Ovis aries: one gene and its partner. The protein of the gene in region 1 purifies or fractionates together with the protein of each later gene. This does not show direct contact. Links are inferred from orthologs where the notes say so. Each region holds a gene or a part of one and is shown on either strand. Other genes may lie near its edges.

Region 1 (10,290 bases):
AGTATAAGAGGAGAGTGAAGAAACTGGCTTAAAATTCAACATTTGGAAAATTAAGATCATGGCATCCGGTCCCATCACTTCATGGCAAATAGATGGGGAAAGAATGGAAACAGTGGCTGACTTTATTTTTCTGGGCTCCAAAATCACTGCAGATGGTGACTGCAGCCATGAAATTAAAAGATGCTTACTCCTTGGAAGAAAAGTTATGACCAACCTAGACAGCATATTCAAAAGCAGAGACATTACTTTGCCAACAAAGATACATCTAGTCAAAGCTATGGTTTTTCCAGTAGTCATGTATGGATGTGAGAGTTGGACTATAAAGAAAGCTGAGCGCTAAAGAATTGATGCTTTTGAACTGTGGTGTTGGAGAAGACGCTTGAGAGTCCCTTGGACGGCAAGGAGATCCAACCAGTCCATCCTAAAGGAAATCAATCCTGAATATTCACTGGAAGGACTAATGCTGAAGCTGAAACTCTAATACTTTGGCCACCTGATGTGAAGAACTCACTCACTAGAAAAGACCCTCATTCTGGGAAAGATGGAAGGCAGGAGGAGAAGGGGACAACAGAGGATGAGATGGTTGGATGGCATCTCCGACTCAATGGACATGAGTTTGAGTAAGCTTGGGAGTTGGTAATGGACAGGGAAGCCTGGCGTGCTACAGTCCATGGGGTTGCAAAGAGTCGGACACGGCTGAGTGACTGAACTGATATGATATCCCTCGGGTCCTGCCTCACAGCTAAGAAGCCAGGCAACTCCCCAAATTCCACTTCTCAGAGACCAGAAACTTATTCTCTGAAGAGGGGTATCACTGCAACTGAGGGTGGGAGCGGTATATGGAGCATAGATTAAGTGAAAACTTGTCTCTCAACATTAAGAACACCAGTTTTCTTAGAATGCTGATGGCCCTGCTTGTTATCACCCCACAGGAGAACAAAAAACACTTCTGGGAAATATGACTTGTACACGACAAAAGACCTAAACAGCCTGTCTTTAGAGCTTCCCCATACTGACAGTCAAGCCAGACCATTCCTCAGTGAAGTTTAGATGCAATAAACTTGTCTGGTGATGAAAGGAACCCCTAGACACTGGAGGACAGCCTTAGTATGGAAGGCAGAGGCCCAAGAGAGGGGCAGAGAAAAATAAGTAATGGTCGGAGAAGAGAATAGTCTTGGAGAAGAGTTAGTACTATATAATGCAAGAGTTCATACTATATAATGAAATAAAAAGAGAACGCTATAAAAAAGAACATTCAGGAAACAAAGAAGAAGTCTAGAAACAAACAGCAGAAAGGAAAATCTCAAGAAAAGGACTAAGATAAAGATGACAAACTCTCTCAGGAAGCAGAGTAAAAAGTTAGAGATCAAAAGTAACAGGGAAAAGAAAGAAAGAAAATAAATGAGAAAAGCCAACATTCAAATGATAAAATTCTAGAAAAAAATGGAGAGCAACTCATTTAGAAAATGATTATAAGAATTTTCCTCAGAAATGGAAAACATGGGTTTTTGGATTGAAGGAACCTATCAAGTTGTCCCATATAATTGATATTAACAGATCCACACAACAAAGAATTATTAAATTCAGAACAGTAAAGATAAAAGGAAGATCTTAAAAACTCCCAGGAAAAACAAACCATAAAAACCTACACAAAGGATCTACTCCCAAAAAGGCATCAGATTTCATAACAACACTAGAAGCTGAACAGCAGAGCCATGGCTTCAACCTTCTAAGGAAAAATAATTTTCAACTTAGAATTCTTTCTCATAAAAACCCTTTCTCAGGATCCACCAAACAAAGTGATAAACTAGGAAAGTGCATGACATGGCCACGGGGAACTCCACGTGAGAGACAAGCAAAGGGAATTCCCGGAATGGTTGAAAAACCAGAATTCAAGATCTCAGAGTTGTGCAGCAGGCCCAGAAACTGGCTCCACTCGACTGAGGCAGGGCAGAAGGCTCTGGGAGAGAATCCTTCAAGGAGATGAAAGCAGTAGAAAGAAAACCAGAAGTGGGGATTACCTAGTGGTCCGTGGTTAGTTGCGGTCTGGTGCTTTCCCTGCAGGGGTCCAGGTTCAATCCCTGGCCAGGGAACTAAGATCCTGCAAGCCGTGCAGAGTACCCCACCCCACCCAAAATGAGAAAGAAAACCAGATGTAGCTGAACCTACCTTATACAACTAGAAGAATGTAGAGATGAATTACTGATATATGTATCAATCACACACAGGAGAGAGAGAGACAGACACACAATATTAACGAAAAGAATACAGGGTACTTTCCAATTAAAAATAAAATTAAAAAAAAAAACCATACAGGGAAGGAAAAGACATTTACTCTGCAAGTAGTACCTATATAGTCTGAGATTAAAAACATCAACTGCTAATCTGAACAAAATTGCAAAATAACCGTACTGGGAGGATCAAGAAGAAATATGGGTACATGTGGCAAAGTGCAAAGAAAGAGGGTTAATAGAGTGGAAGTCAATAAATAAGGGGCTAAAACTGAGAAAATACAACACAGTATTTTAAGCATACTATGTATAGCACAGAGACAAATACCAAAAGAAACAGCTAAGAGTTGCAGGTTATTGCCTTTGAGGAGCAGGAGAAGGGATTCAAGCCTTAAGGAATTCTTTGACTATATGCATATGACTGATAACAATAAAAAACTTGCTTAAGCAGTACAGAGGAAGAAAAAGGCGACATCCCTGTCCTGTATATCCTCTCATCTTAGAGGGGAGTACAGCCAGCCACCTAACAGGTTGAAGTCAGTCTCATCACTGAAGGAATCCATCAGCCAATCCTCCAGGCCAAGAGCAGAGGAAATACGTTACTGTGTTACCAAGAACTTAGGTTCCTCAAAGACAGACACTTTCTTTTATGAAGAGTTGAAGGCAAATTTTAGTGTGAATTCTTATGATGAAAAATACTGTATTTAATTGAAGAATCAAGGTTCTCCTAAAAGCAGCAGTAGGAATCTAAGAAAGATATGAAATTCACAGTGACAACTCAGAAGGTTGGTAAAAGCACAAGGACACAGCTTTTGGAAACAGAGAAATGTGAATTTGACAAACAAGACCCACATCCCAAATGAGCTGAGAAAAACAGTCACCTGATTTGGAGTCAAACACGCTAATATAGTCTATGGAGCCAGCCGCAACGTGAGTACCAGCAGGATGCCAGCTGAGACTCAGGATTCGACCTGGGGAGTTTTACAACCAAAGAGAAAGTGACATACACGTACATATACAGCAAACGGTAACTGAGTTCTCTTTCCACAGTGATCTACAGGACTAGCGTTCTATAGCCTTAGCGCTCACCTGCTGCATTTTTGTGAAGAACTGTTTTGTAACAGGTGAGGAACAACTTTTTCCTGGGACTCACATGACATATTTGATGCTTGCTTTTAATAATGGATAAATGGTTGATAGGATTGTAAACAAGCACAACCTTCTGAGGGTGACCAGGCAGTAACCAAACAAAATTTAAACGTGCCTATCTGTCACAGCAATTGCACTGTCAATTTCACCACAGAGAAATATTACTAGAGTGCCCAAGTGAAGAAAAGAATGTTCGTTACAGCACTGGCTTGAGTAGTAAAAATATATATATATATTAATAATAGTATCTATCAGTAGGAGTGTGATCAAACAAATTATGGAACACCATAAAATGGAATGCCACTCACATGGGCACAACTCAACTCACACAGAAAGATGTCTGTGATATAGCAAATGAAAAAAAAAAAAAGCTGAAAAGCAAGTGCAAGCACTCCTGGAAATGTATCCGTCCGTTCGAAGATACAACAAGGTCTAGATTCATTTTAAAATGTTGCCTACAGACTGAGGTGAGCCACTTATTCTTTTCTTTCACCCTTAGCCAAACGTGTGAAATTTTTAACAACACTGTGTCACCTTTGTAATTAAAAAAAAAGAACACCTGCAAGATATTAAAAACAAACATACAGGGATTTGATGAACAGAGAATAAATATTACTATTGGACATAGAGAACATCTCAGACAGCACTCTCCAGAAGAGGAGTCAGCATACTGCAACCCAAAGGCCAACCTGGGGTGAGCTGTCGTTAATGAAGTTTTAGGTGAGAACAACCATGACCATTTGTTTAAGCATTATCTAGGACTACTTTGCTGAAGCCTACAATATTAGCTGGTGTCTTTACAGAAACAGGTTGCCAATCTCTGATCTGGAAGTCAGTGTCAGTAGGTGCAGCTGGAACAGGGACAACTGGCTATAAAATTCCCACATTCAACTTGAATGTACTAGCAGGACTGAGAACCACAGCTCCTATCTAACAGCGAAGTCCTAGTTTTGAGACTTTATGCACATTCATCAAAACTTCACTAAAGTGAGTGAGAACTAACAAATTGATTCACATAGAAACACTTGCTTTCCTATTTTGGATTGCCAGTTTTCTCTATTATTACTTAACCAGGTAGTCATAGCTACGTTATGTTACACAGTAAAGAGAACCTGAGCTAAGGACAGCATCTAGCATATACCCTGCATCGCAGAAAGTTGGCACACAGATAAAATATTCTCTGAACCCATAGGAAAGTATCCCATCTCCAGTGGCACAGAAACAAAACTTCTTGTTAACACTACTCACTGCCCTGATGACAAATAACCCTTACTTTTCTGACGATCAAAATTTCTTTCAAACTGGATTTTGTCTGGAGTGATCTGAAATAATTTCACAGATCCATCTTCACAGCCAACCTATCATGGAAAAGGGGGTGGAAAACAAAGAAAGCATTTTAGAGAACCAAATATACACATTTAAAATATATACATTTCTTCCCTCAAGCTAACACTTGCTCTGAAAGAGGAAAAATAGTTTGTGAGAGGAAAAAAGTACTGGTATCAAGAAATTTGGTTCCTGGCAGCCATCACATCCCAACCAGAAAGCAGGCCAATGAGTGGCCTAATTCCTGCACAGGACATGGAGGAGAAATAGGATTTCATGGCATGTCTGTGCTAGATACGAAGGCCTGAATTAAACACCCGTTAACTGTGTCACCTTCATGGAGATATGTCAAGATACTGTAAAATAGTACCAAAAAAAAAAATCAGTAACTCATTACAGAAAATTAATGGTAAGAATGCGCGGGGAGGAGGGAAATCTTAAGTCTGTGCTCAAAAAATTTTTGAGAAACATGGTTCTACAAGTGGACTTGTAAAAAGACCTATCAGAACTCTTAATATACTAACGTGTGTTGTGAATCTACGGAAGGACTTAACACGTGGTAATTCTGAAGCAAAATGTATCATAAAACACAAAGCGCAGCCAAACAAAAGACAGTGTCTGTATCTCCCAATTCCAAAGGACACAGTTTGGGAGATGCTGAACCAAACTGAAACCTCTGGTGTCATTAATGAACAAACAAGATCCAAAGTAGAAGCAGAAAGGGTGCAAAAGGACAAGGGATTTTTACATCTCCAGTAATAACCCCAATCGTGTATCTCCTATTGGAATCCAGGTACAATTGATTGCTTGGTTGCTGGAATTCGGCTCAGACTGGAATTGCGACTGGCCACAACATAACTTTACCTTCCTATGAACACAGGGAAGCAAGTGTAAATGGGCTCAAGAGGAAATCTCGGTTTGGATGACTAATAGTTGCGTACTGACCAAAAGTTGAGAGCCACTGGGGCTGGCGGCCATGCTCCAGATGGGCCCTCCAAAGGCATCCACAGCATACTTGATGGTCAATGCCTGTAAATCATACTCGATAATTTCTCCATTGAGTCCAGCACTAAACAGTCGCTGTCCTTTCGCCCAGCACAGAGCTTCTGTGGCCCGAGACTCATGACCTGGGAAAAACTACAGAAACACAATAACTTCTCAACCCACCGTGAATTCACCAGCTGCCAGCACTGAGTGATCACAGGTAAACGGGGAAAATTAAAATGCCCCTCTAGAAATAACTTAGTGTGGAATTTCACACTATCTGAAGATCATGATACTGATATTTTCATTTTTTTAGGCTCACATTTTAGTTATACGGTTGGTTTTGTTTCTTTTTCTAGGACTAGTTCTGCAAAATGTTTCAGACAATAAAGTCTGCAAGTAATTGTATTTGATGTCATCTGATTTTTAAAGGTCATTGTAGTGATCTTGATCGATGCTTTCAAAGGTGTATATGTGTCAAAAGTTATCAATATGTATACTTTGAAAACATGTTGCTTACTGTGGGCCAATTTCACCAATAAATGTTGTCTAAAAAATGAAAATAAAAGAAATGAATGCAGCTCACTCCAGCTTTTCATTCAAGTCTCAGATTTCTAAGTGTTTTCTTCTTGCTCAAAAAGCATTCATACAATCAAGGAATTTTATTCTTATAGCTGCTTGCCACCAAAGGGAATGAAAGTGAAAGTGAAGTTGCTCAGTCCTGCCTGACTCTTCATGACCCCCTAGACTGCAGCCTACCAGGCTCCTCCGTCCATGGGATTTTCAAGGCAAGAGTACTGGAGTGGGTTGCCACTGCCTTCTCCGGGAGAGATACAATTTTTCCTAGCTGAACTTGAAAAAGCAGAGCATCTGTAAATGGTCTGCCCAAATTGCCAAAGTCAATGACACAAATTGAAGATAACTCTCCTTACTACTAGTCCCTACTCTTCACTCTCATGATCTGACAGTGATCACCCAAGCTAATCAATCTTGAATAGCCAGGAAGGGAACAAGGAAACAAAGTGGAAGACTAGACTGAATTAATTGTTCAAGAAAACAGAAAACCGATGGGAGTGGAAAATAAGATGTACTAGGTAAAGACCCGTTGAACATGTATTAACTCAGTGATGCCTTTGTATTAAGCACTTGCTAAATGCTGGGAATACAGCCATATCACTGACAAGATCCCTTTTTCATAAAATTGGAAGTTCAGGAGGGAAGAAGACATTAAACAAATATATAAACAATTATATAGTTGCAACAATAATAACAAGAAAAATCACAGGATACAACAAGCGCGCATCACAGCATGTTTTTCATGCTATAGAATGGGACTCATTTTTGGTGACCAGTGATTTCTTAACTCTTGTTATTGCTTCAGGGGTCAGCTCAGGTAAGTCATCCCTTTCCAGGAATCCTAAACCCACCTCATCAGAGCAAGGCACCTCTCTACTAAGATTCTATGCCCATGCTTAGGTCTATCATAAAACTGACCACACTATTTCAAACCGTATACTCATCTTTCCCCCACTGGATTTTGAGCTCCTTTGAAGGTAGGGCCTCTGACATTCATCTTAATGCCTAATGCTTGCAGTCATTTAGAAATAGTTACAGAGTACCTAAATTCCAAGTACTACGCTGCAAGACACTGCATTCATTTTTCCTTCTATTCATCTGTATCATGGTGTTGAGGGCATGCAAGGCACTCAGTAAATGTGAACTGAATTATTTTGCTGCATCTGAAATCTGTAATCAGAGACTTTGAAAAATAGGCTGCTGTAATAGCCCTGTGCATATACCCAAATGATATTTTACCTAATTTAAAATCGTCTTTAGTTCCAAACATTAGGTATATAAATCTACCTTCTCTCAAATAGATAATTTAGGAATTCATCTTCTTGCTATCACATCACCAAAAAGTTTGATATTAAAACATCTCATCATTTTTTTCTGAATTAACAGTGAAATAGGTAATAACACAGCAGGAAAAGCCACTTTACTAAAGTTACAATGGTGCAGAGACTGATAGGAAGCAATGATCTTGACAACAGATCTAGTAAACATCAGTTTCCAAATGGCAGTAAGCACCACAATTCCTAGGTAGGCTCTTTCTAACCAACATTACATAGACTGAAGCTCTAAGTTTATCAGTCAGACAAGAGAGTGTATATTTGTTCTTTGTTTCTAAACAACAGAGAGAGTAGGGGAGAGTCATTTTCTTCTGATCTCCTTGAATACAAAAAAGACAGAAGATTTTGCAGAATTAAACTTAAGAAAAAAAAATTAACATCACCACCACCAAATCCGGCTCCCAAATGACTTACTTTCTCCTGAAAGTAGTTTGCTGACAAATTATAAATTTCCACAGTGCCATCTGTTCGTGAAACAGCCAATCTGTTTGACTGGTTATTGTAAGCCACACAGCGGATCCCTGATGGAACATAATTAAAGAAACGCACTCGATGGACATTAAATTCACCCATTCCTAGGAGGGGAGAAAAGAATCATTGTTAAACAGCAGTATATCACATCTCCTGTCTTTTATTACCACTCTTCTGGACTTCCCTCCTGGCTCAGATGGTAAAGAATCAGCCTGCAATGAGGGAGACCTGGGTTCCATCTCTGAGTTGGGAATATCCCCTGGAGGAGGGCATGGCAACCCACTCCAGTATTCTTGCCTGGAAAAGCCCCATGGACAGAGGCCCCTGGCCGGCTACAGTCCATAGGGTGGAAAAGAGTCGGCCACGACTGATTGACTAAGCGCAGCACAGTACCACGGTTCTATGTGGCAGACTCCAAATGTATCTCACTGAGGTTCATTTCTATTTTTCCCCATTTTTGGGGGGTGGGGAGAAGGCCAGGCAGGAACTGGGGGTGGGGAGGATATGGGGTCTTAGTTCCCCTGCCTCCGTCACTAGAAGCTCCCAGTCTTAATCCCTGGACCGCCTGGGAAGTCTGACTGAGGTTCATTTTAAAATATTCAACTAAAGATGCTTTAATGGTCCACACAGAATCTATCAAATAGTCTCCAGAAGCTCAGGATTCTTCCACAAAAAAAAATTCAAAAAGCAACACATAGAGCATCACCCAGCCTCCTAGCAATCCCGCAAACTGCCCAAAGGAAGTGCTCCAGGAAGAGAGGTGAGAATCTAAAACTTGATCTTAGAGCAAAAGACTGAACATAACCTCATTTTTTTACTGGGAGTGCGCGCTTGAATGGAGCCACAAGGAGCTGACCAAATGTATTCGAAAAGAAAGTGAAGTCGCTCAGTCGTGTCCAACTCTTTGCGACCCCATGGACTGTATGTAGCCTACCAGGTTCCTCCACCCATGGGATTTTCCAGGCAAGAATACTAGAGTGGGTTGCCACTTCCTTCTCCAGGAATTGTATTCGAGGCAGAACTAAAGTCTCCTTCGTATTTGGTGCGTGAGGTTTCTGGGGTTGGGGGTGGTTAAGAAGAGGATCAATACCTCGATCATTCTAAGAAAGCAAGAAATGTTGACAGTCTAAAGGAGTCTCTCAAAGTCAGGTCCGCAGAACTCCTAAACCAAAACGATCTCTAACAAGGCAGGATTCCGGGTACTAATCCATAGCTCTAGAATTCCAGTCTTTGGGGGTGGGAGGAGGTCAAGGAACCTGCATTTTGGCAAACATCTCCATCTCCACTGCATGCTAAGTCTGCAAATCACAGACTCAACTACGGTGGTGACGGTGGAGCTGATGGGCAGGAAAAACCAAGAGCTTCTTAGCGGGATGAAGCGACAGGACTGATCTGGCATCTGTCAATTACTTTCTCTATCCCCAGCTCCGCCGCCGCCAACAGACGCACTCGAGTCAGGTTCGCCCCTTTACTCATCTCCCTTCAAGGTGAAGAATCTGCCAGGAGAGAAGGCGCGTTCGGCCCAGCTAGGCTATGCGTGCTTCCGAGGCGCGCGAGGGCTCCGCCGCCCATTCCCTCTCCGGGGATGTCTGGAGTAGCCCCCACCCGGCCTCGGCAGAGGGGAATCGGCGAGTTTCCCGGGGGGCCGACCTAGAGCAAGCCGCACTCGCTAGATACAACCCCATTCCATCCCCACTACCTACGCCCCTTCCCCAACTCACCGGTGGAAGGGCTCGCCACTTAGGGAGCTCGCCTCTCTCCGCCCCGGCCCCACGTGCGCGCGCCCGCGTGTTCTGCCCCGGAAGTGCTCGCGGCGCAAGGCCGGAAGTGCGCAGGCAGTGCTCGCGGCGGCGGCGACGGCGGCGGGAGGTTCGGTTGTCGCCCGTTGGCCGCGCGGCGCCGCGATCGGCGGCCGCCATTGCAGGTCAGGCCGCGGGCAGGGAGCGCGGGAGGCCGCGGGGAGCGAGGGCTGAGCCGGGGATGGGGGGGCGAGGGTGCGAGGGAGCGGGAAGCTAGGAAGCTGGGGCCGGGCGGGGCGCGCGGCTCGAGGAGAAGAATGGCGAGCTGAGGGGCGGGGAGCAGCGGGCGGGGGAGGGGAGGCCGGGAAGGGGGAGGGGAGCGGGGAGGGCCGCGCAGAGGTGGGGGCGACCCAGAGGCGCCCTCGGGGTAGGAGAGCCGGGAATTGCGGAGAAGGGAGCGGTGCGGAGTCGGAAGGCGGA
Region 2 (8,483 bases), on another chromosome or scaffold:
CTCAATGGGGTCACAAAACTCACTGAGAAGAAAGCTATCGGACGTCTACACAGAGAAACACACATTTCCTAAAATGTCACAAAAAATTCTAGGGCATTCATGAGCCCCATCAAAATGGACCACAGGACTGAACCAGGTTATGCACTCTGTCTTAGAACAACCAGGAAATAAAGTCCATAAAGGTAAAGAATCGTCACAGAACTCTCTTCCAAAGCCTGTAAAACCAACTGAACTTACAACAAAACAAAAGTACAGAAAACAACTCTCTGTAACTGCATGGTGACAGACATTAACCAGTTTATCGTGACGATCACTACACAATATACACAAATACGGAAGCATTACGCTGTGCATCTGAAACTAACAGAATGTATGCTAAGTATACTTCAATTAAAAACAAAACAACAAGTGTCTCTTACTTAGTGTGGCCTTCAAACTGCCTGAGGGGAGCCCTCCCACTTATATCGAAAAGCTGAACACCACCATCTTCACTGCCAGCCACAAGGAGTCTACCATCCTGTCGAAAAGTAGCACAGTATGCTGTGTCTTTAAATCGGGAAAAGGTTTTTATAGGTTCTTGGGAGTATCGGCCATAAATGTGAATCTACAACAAGATAAAAAACAGAGCATTTTACTAGATGGCTCAAGAACAGCAGTAAATATAAACGGCGTGAAAGAAAAACATGACATTTACCCTTGAAGAAGCTGTGACTGCATAGTTATATGGAGGCTGGGAAGAAAAGTCTACTTTTGACACTGCACCAAACTCCTTGATCTGAACAGGTGTCTTAATGAAAAATAATAGAGTATTAACAGAGTTACAACCATGCAGGCTACTTTGTACCTTGCCTTTTTTTCATTAACACATCTTAGCTAACTTTTCATATGAGCAATAGCTTTACCATCCATTATAAGATATACCATAATTTACTTTACCAGTCCACTACTAACAAACAGGTTTTTCTGAGATTTCTAATATTATAAATAATACTTCAACAAGCATCTTTACACATAAGGATAACATATACAAATTTTGGAGAGTTTATTCACTGATTAAGTTGCAAGCTGTGTAATTTACAAGACCACAAGTTATTTTTATCTTAAGAGATAACGCCAGAATTGCCCTTTGAAAAGTTTGCGCCAATTTTCCCTACCTCAAGCAGCAATGATGATCAAAATTTTTCATTTGTGCCAACATTATACATGAAAAGGTATCTAAATTATTATTCAATAATTATCCAATTATTGTTTCAACTTGCATTTATTCAGTTATGAGTGAAGTTGGAGCTCTTTTAGTATATTTATTGGCCACTTAAATTTCCTTTCCTATAAACTTTCCAATCCCAACCTCTTTCCATTTTTCTATGAAGTCAATCATCTTTTTTATAAAGAAAAATCATTTAATTAGCCTTTTCAGATGGCACAGAATTCATTTTACATCTCTTCCTCCTGAGATTAGGAAAAAAAAATTTTTTAAAACCTTCTTTCATACGAGATTCAAATTCTAAAGTTTAATTCACTTGCACTGATTAATCATCTACCATGTGTTAGATACCTGTATTATTAAACTGATTAGGGAATATGGACTTTAAAAATCAGACATCAAATTTTCCACCCAAACTATAAGCTACTGACAGATTATTTTTAGTTATTAACTCTTTACTAGCATATCCAAAGTCTAACAAATGCTGGAGAAATTGGCATTAAGTGCAAAACAGTACCCCCTTAATTTTGTCTACACTTACCTTATAGTTGTTCCAGTACAGTGTATCTTGGGTGATTTTTTCACCAAGTACAGGATATGTCTGGATTGCTACAGGCTTATAACCAGCCATACTTTCATGTAATTGCACTGTTATCCAAGGGTAACTAGTTTGAAACTGGTGTGATTAAAGTGACTGTCTTATGTCTGAAAAAAAATATTTTATATACACATTACTACTATTCATAAACCTATACGCAGTTATGATTCTCACTCTGTGTCTTTTCCAAAGGTTGTATGGTAGCTTACAGATCAGTGATCAGTAACCATTTAACGTTAATACAGAAGAGACAATCTAAGGGAAACAAGAAGAACACAGATAGGGCCACCAAAGTGAACTATCTGCTCAGTTATACGCAGAGACTACACACAAATGTTCCCACACCTCACTGACCAATTTACAGCCCTTGGGAATAAATCTGGCTCAGCCATCCAGTTGCCAAAGCAGAGAGAAACACACTTGCTTGGAACGTTCATTTACTAACAGCAAAAAATATTAACATGAAACTGCAACTACAAATGCTCCCTGAAATTAAACTCAAGACAACATTTAACCTGTAAGAACACAGTCTAGGGACCTCGGGCTTCCCTGATGGCTCAAGAGAGTGAAGCGTCTGCCCACATTGCAGGAGACCCAGGTTCGATCCCTGGGTCGGGAAGATCCCATGGAGAAGGAAATGGCACCCCACTCTGGTACTCTTGCCTGGAAAATCCCATGGATAGAGAAGCCTGGTAGGCTACAGTCCATGGGGTCACAAAGAGTTGGACACGACTGAGCAACTTCACTTCACTAGGCACCTGACTTCCTGAAAGCCTAACACTGCCAAAAAGAAAGCAGAGCTGGTATTTTAATGTAGAAGAATAAAACTAAATTTAAAAGCTTAAAATAAAAATCTACTATTCTGATGAAGAAGATTAAAATTAAGTTAATTTTAAAAGGCTTAAACGTAAGAAAGAAAACAAGAATAAAACAATTCTGAAGTGAAATTCTAAATTAAAGTGACAGAATAAAGATTAATTAAAGCTTTTATAATTCCACATTTATTCTGTTAAATCTAAGGTTTAAAAAATAACTTTTCACAATATCAAGAGTGTTTCTTTGCATAAACTTCTTCACATACCATAGGATCTTTACAATAACTTTACCTAAATGTTTTACAATGTTGTGCTGGTTTCTGCCATACAACTAATTAAAACTTTTAACTGACATGCAATTAAGCTGAAATGTCTTTCCAAAACCATTTATTTGCAACAGAGGAATGATTCAGTAGAGCAACTCATCTATTCTCAAAAGTCTGAAAACACTGTATCAGTAACACCAAAATACACAGGTGCAACATATTTTAAAGGCTTTGAGGACACATGGCAATTCATGATTTTAAAAAGGGAAACTTTTCTGTTCACTGAAGTACTTACAAAGTAACACACTGTTTTAGGCACTGGGGTACAATGCGGAGTGAAACAGACATGGTCAGAGCCTTCATATACTCTTGAGACTCTTCATTTCAGCTGGTAATTGGCATAAGCTAGGAATCTTGAATCAGTCTGTCTTGTCGTTCCTTCTCACTTCTAACATGTAATATTTAGCAAGAGCTGCTGATTTTACCTTCCAAATCTTTCTAAACTCCATAATATCCATACTACCTAGTTAGACTGCGCTAATTCACATCTTCTCAACTACTGAAATAGTGCAATATAAGGTTTCCCTGATTCTGTCTGTCTTCCAAATAGCCGTCAGAGTTACCGAACTACCACGCAAATCTAGCTTTTGCTACAAAGCCCAAAACTGCCCGGAAAAGAAGGTGCAAGCTCCTTCAAACAGAATTAAGGCCCTCTGTAATCTTGCCCTTGCTTATCTTTCCAGCTTCACTTCTTTTTCCTCACTTAACACACCATGCTCTTCCTTGTCTCAGTATCTGTCTTCATCTGTCCTCTCTGGCAAGAAAGATCTTTATCTACCTCCTCAGTTCAGTTCAGTTCAGTCACTCAGTCGTGTCCAACTCTTTGCGACCCCATGAATCGCAGCACGCCAGGCCTCCCTGTCTATCACTAACTCCTAGAGTTCACTCAAACTCACATCCATGGAGTCAGTGATGCCATCCAGCCATCTCATCCTCTGTTGTTTCCTTTTCCTCCTGCCCTCAATCCCTCCCAGCATCAGGGTCTTTTCCAATGAGTCAACTCTTCGCATGAGGTGGCCAAAGTACTAGAGCTTCAGCTTTAGCATCATTCCCTCCAAAGAACACCCAGGATTGATCTACTTTAGGATAGACTGGTTGGATCTCCTTGCAGTCCAAGGGACTCTCAAGAGTCTTCTTCAACACCACAGTTCAAAAGCATCAATTCTTCGGCACTCAGCTTTCTTCACAGTCCAACTCTCACATCCATACATGACCACTGGAAAAACCATAGCCTTGACTAGATGGACCTTTGTTGGCAAAGTAATGTCTCTGCTTTTCAATATGTTATCATTTAATATTCAAGAACCACATCCTCCAGGAAACCTCTGACGTCCTTAGCTAGGTTACCGGCTTGTCTTTTATAACCTACTCGACTGTATTTCTGTCAATTCACATAATCATATGGCAGCATAATGATCTTTTCTCCCCATTAGTCAAAGCAATGGTTTTTCCAGTAGTCATGTATGGATGCGACAGCTGGGCCATAAAGAAAGCTGATCACCCAAGAATTGATGCTTTTGAACTGTGGTGTTAGAAAAGACTCGAGAGTCCCTTGGACTGCAAGGAGATAAAACTAGTCAGTCCTAAAGGAAGTCAGTTCTGAATATTCATTGAAAGGACTGATGCTGAAACTGAAACTCCAATACTTGGGCCACCTGATGGAAAGAACTGACTCACTGGAAAAGAGCCTGACGCTGCAAAAGACTGAAGGCAGGAGAAGGGTATGACAGAGGATGAGATGGTTGGATGGCATCACCGACTCGATGGACATCAGTTTGAGCAGGCTCTGGAAGTTGGTGATGGACAGGGAAGCTTGGCATGCTGCAGTCCATGGGGTGGCAAAGAGTCAGACACGACTCTAGGGGCCAAACTAAAACTGAACATTTCATGTCTGGAAGACTAAAAACAATTGCTCAGTGGGGGCTTCCCTGGCTCAGACAGTAAAGAATCTGCCTGCAATGCAAGAGACGTGAGTTCGATTCCTGGGTTGGGAAGATCCCCTGGAGAAGGGAATGACTATACCCACTCCAGTGTTCCTGCCTGGAGAATCCCATGGACAGAGGAGCCTCGTGGGCTACAGTCCATGGAATCACAAAAAGTCAGACATGACTGAGCAACTAACACTTCAGTTTCAAAGAAATATTTGTGAAAGGAACAAAAGGAAGCATTGCGCTGGGTTATATGGGAAACAAAATTAAAACCATGGGTGGTGCAAACACTGCTATAAAGCACAAGTCCACAGAGTTTTTCTGTAAAAGGCCAAAGAATAAATATTTTAGGCTTTGTAGGCCAGCAGGCAAAATGGAGGATATTATGTAGTTACTTACATACCAAGAAAGAAAAAATTCCAAATTTTTTACTAACAAGCTACCCCCAAATAACTGTAAGTATGATATTCTGTTTATGAATGAAAGAGACTCTTTGGAGAAGGGGGAGAAAGTTTCATGGACTTTGAATGATGTGTCCTGTCATCAAATAGGGCTTCCCCGGTGGCAAAGTGGTAAACAACCTGCCTGTCAATTCAGGAGATGCAGGAGACTCAGGTTCGATCCCTGGGTGGGAAAGATCCCCTAGAGGAGGGCATGGCAACGCACTCCAGTCTTCTTGCCTGGAGAATCCCCATGGACAGAGGAGCCTGGGGAGCTCTAAGGTCCATAGGATGGCAGAGAGTGAGACACAACTGAAGCCACTTAGCACATATCCATCATTAAACAAATCACAAACATTCATCTATAAAAAGAATACATGGCTCACTGACGACCCCAGAACAGACAGTTGGCCAGATCTAGCCTGTCTGTGGGCCTTAGCCCCTCACTAGAGCACGGCTGACCCTTGAACAGCAGTTTTGAATTGTGTGGGTCTGCTTAGAAGCAGATTTTTTTCAACAGTAAATACCACAGTACACAGAATTACAGCTTGTTGAAAGCACAAGTAGAGCCCAGGAGGAATCCCATACACGGAGAGTCCACTGTAAGTTATCCCTCCCAAGAAGGTAGGGGCCCCGAAAGCTGCCTCACCGCAGTGTTCAAGGGTCAACTATACAGGCGATGGAGAACATAACTGCCTCGAAAGAAGTACTTTACAGTGGTTTGCCAGATTAAAGTGACGAACAGCATCAGAGGCAGGAGAGGGGAAGCAAGACGGTGCAAAAGCACGGACGCAAGAAGTGACGTGAAAATGAACAGGAAGAAAACAATCAGAGTGCTAACAGCCTGAAAAAAAACCGGGACTGAATGAAAACTAGGTACTACTACATCACAAGGCAGAATACCAAAAGCACGCTATAAGTAATATACAGAAAACAGAACGCTCAGACGAGACTTTAACTGGGAGGCTACCAGAAACATTCCAAGGGTGCATTTCAGTTGGGCCTTTAATATTAAAACCAATTAACCACTTAATAAGAGCGGGCCCTGAAACTGAGAGAACCACATAAGCAAAGACAGAGATGGAAATCGGCCTACTACTTTGAAAGGGTGTGGATTACTCCAGGGACTAATAACGGAGGACAGTAGAAGTGGACAGTGACCGTAGAGGAGGAAAATCTAGGTAGAAACTAAATTGCGAGGATCCTGAGAGGTTGCTTAAGGAGTTGCTTTAGCCACTCCGCGGAGACCGGGAAGCCCCAAGGAAACATGCTAGATAGCAAGGAAGGCCCGATGTGAGTCTGGGGTACCTTCATTGGGAGCCCCCTTTACCTCCGTGGGCCCGGACGGTCCGCCGAGACACCCCAGCGTCAAGGAGAATTTCTTGGACCCCACCAGTCCTCTTCTTGACTATGCAGGAGAACATGCAGAAGATCACGTGGATACTCTAAGAAACCCCTGAAACACGCTGCGAACAGGAGAGCCCGTCGGGTCGCACGAAGGTGACGTCAGGGCGCAGGCTCCCGAGACGCACGCAGCCTGGGTGACGCAGGGGCGGGTCCTGTGGGCGGGGCTATGGTGGAGGAGGAGGCGTGGCCAGAGCGCGAGGCCAAGGCCTGGCGATAGACCCAGATCCGTGGGAGAAATGACGCTCTCTCTGTAGTTACTGGGACTGTAAAGATCGCGCAGCACAGCGGCGGGAAAATACCTGGAAGTTCTCTCGGCTGCAACGACGCTGAACGCTTTTTGGCCGGAAACCAAAAGCAGAAATCGGAAGTGACGTCGCCATCACAACAAGCCGGGGCTTGGCTGAGGTCCTGCAGTGACTCTGGCCGCAGATGGAGAGGCCCGACTCGCTGTGGACTGTCGAGAGTGGTCGCCAGGCCCTGCGCCCCGACCCGGGCAGCCTCCGGCCCCTGTTGCCGGGGCCAGCCCGCCGCGGTTGAGCCAGTTTCCGCCCGCCGTGCCGGAGCCGCGCTGGGATTTTTTTCGGGCAGAGCTGGCGGGTGGCGACAGAACGAGACTTCCCTCCTGCCACAGTCTCCCTTCCAGCGGGTTCCTGTCCTGGGACGCCGGGACACCTGTCGCCTGTGAGGCATCATTCATTCTCATAGCACCTTCCTTTCCTCGTAGGGCAGCTCCAGGATGAAGAAGAACGGGGGGCGGGGAGTTCCTGGTATTAGCACTCACTGGGGAATAACCCAGTTGCCCATTTTATTTCGCTGGGGCCGCTCTACCCCTTCTCCCTGGGCTCTGACTGGTTGAGGTGACCCTAGCTTTACTTCTTTTTTTCTCCCCGCCTCCTCTTCTGGATCGTCTCCCTCCCCTCCCCTTCTTTTCTTATACTTAAAAATTATGGCTTAACCGGTCAATTTTGCCTCTCCTCCTCTCTAGACTGGTGCCAAGATAAGCATTCTATTTCCACTTGGTTTAGAAAGAATTGGTTTCTTTTGCTTTAGTGCTGCTTTTTATTTTAATGAACCGAGTGATGGGAGTCATGAGCTCCCTGTTTCTCTTCTCTACGGTGGACATTGATTATGATTACCTGCCCTGGCTACCCAAAGGATTGTTATAAAAATTAAATAAAAACATAAAAAGGATTGTTATAAAAATCTCGGAAGATGTTCTAAAACGTAAACAGGGGCTATCTGTAAAATGTATGATTTGCCAACTTTTGCTCCACTGTGATCCTCTTTTAGTTCCAATTAATTACAACTTTAAAACACCCTGCACCCTCAAAATTTCTAAGAGGCAGTGGCCTTAACGTGATAAAATTGTTTCGTTTCGTCCCTAAGTCCTGTCCCACTCTTTTCGACTCCGCGGACTGCAGCCTGGCAGGCTCCTCTGTCCATGAGGTTGCTCAAGCGAGAATACTGGAGTGGGTTGCCATTTCCTTTTTCCCGACACAGGGATTGAACCCGCATCTTCTGCATTGGCAGGCGAATTTTTTACAACTGAGCCACTGGAAAGACTATGAAAAAATTAACTGGATGCTATTTATTTTCTTCCTGTCTCAGTGACTATATATCTAGGACAATTATATATCTTGGAGTTCTTTTTTTAGAAGCAAATTTAGGTACAAAAATGAAATTTCTCTTCAGATTATATATATTAAGGTCCATAGGAAAGTGCCAGTGATTACCTTACTGAAAACTCATTTAAAACAGTGGTAAA

Evidence for each region.
Region 2: the proteins of UTP4 (region 1) and UTP15 purify together in Homo sapiens (co-immunoprecipitation; 4 studies listed by BioGRID and IntAct, counting the BioPlex papers as one, with this or other methods). This does not show direct contact. The link is inferred for Ovis aries from reciprocal best matches to the Homo sapiens genes UTP4 and UTP15.

The regions. Positions count from the first base shown.
Region 1 is NC_056067.1:35,905,529-35,915,818, reverse strand, and holds the start of UTP4 (U3 small nucleolar RNA-associated protein 4 homolog), read right to left. Parts: upstream 9,867-10,290; 5' UTR 9,793-9,866; intron 8,176-9,792; 5' UTR 8,174-8,175; coding exon 8,015-8,173; intron 5,844-8,014; coding exon 5,652-5,843; intron 4,739-5,651; coding exon 4,654-4,738; intron 3,203-4,653; coding exon 3,113-3,202; intron 1-3,112. UniProt on the Homo sapiens protein: Ribosome biogenesis factor. Involved in nucleolar processing of pre-18S ribosomal RNA. Part of the small subunit (SSU) processome, first precursor of the small eukaryotic ribosomal subunit.
Region 2 is NC_056069.1:8,205,630-8,214,112, forward strand, and holds the start of UTP15 (U3 small nucleolar RNA-associated protein 15 homolog), read right to left. Parts: upstream 6,820-8,483; 5' UTR 6,642-6,819; intron 1,910-6,641; 5' UTR 1,836-1,909; coding exon 1,746-1,835; intron 788-1,745; coding exon 695-787; intron 605-694; coding exon 420-604; intron 1-419. UniProt on the Homo sapiens protein: Ribosome biogenesis factor. Involved in nucleolar processing of pre-18S ribosomal RNA. Required for optimal pre-ribosomal RNA transcription by RNA polymerase I.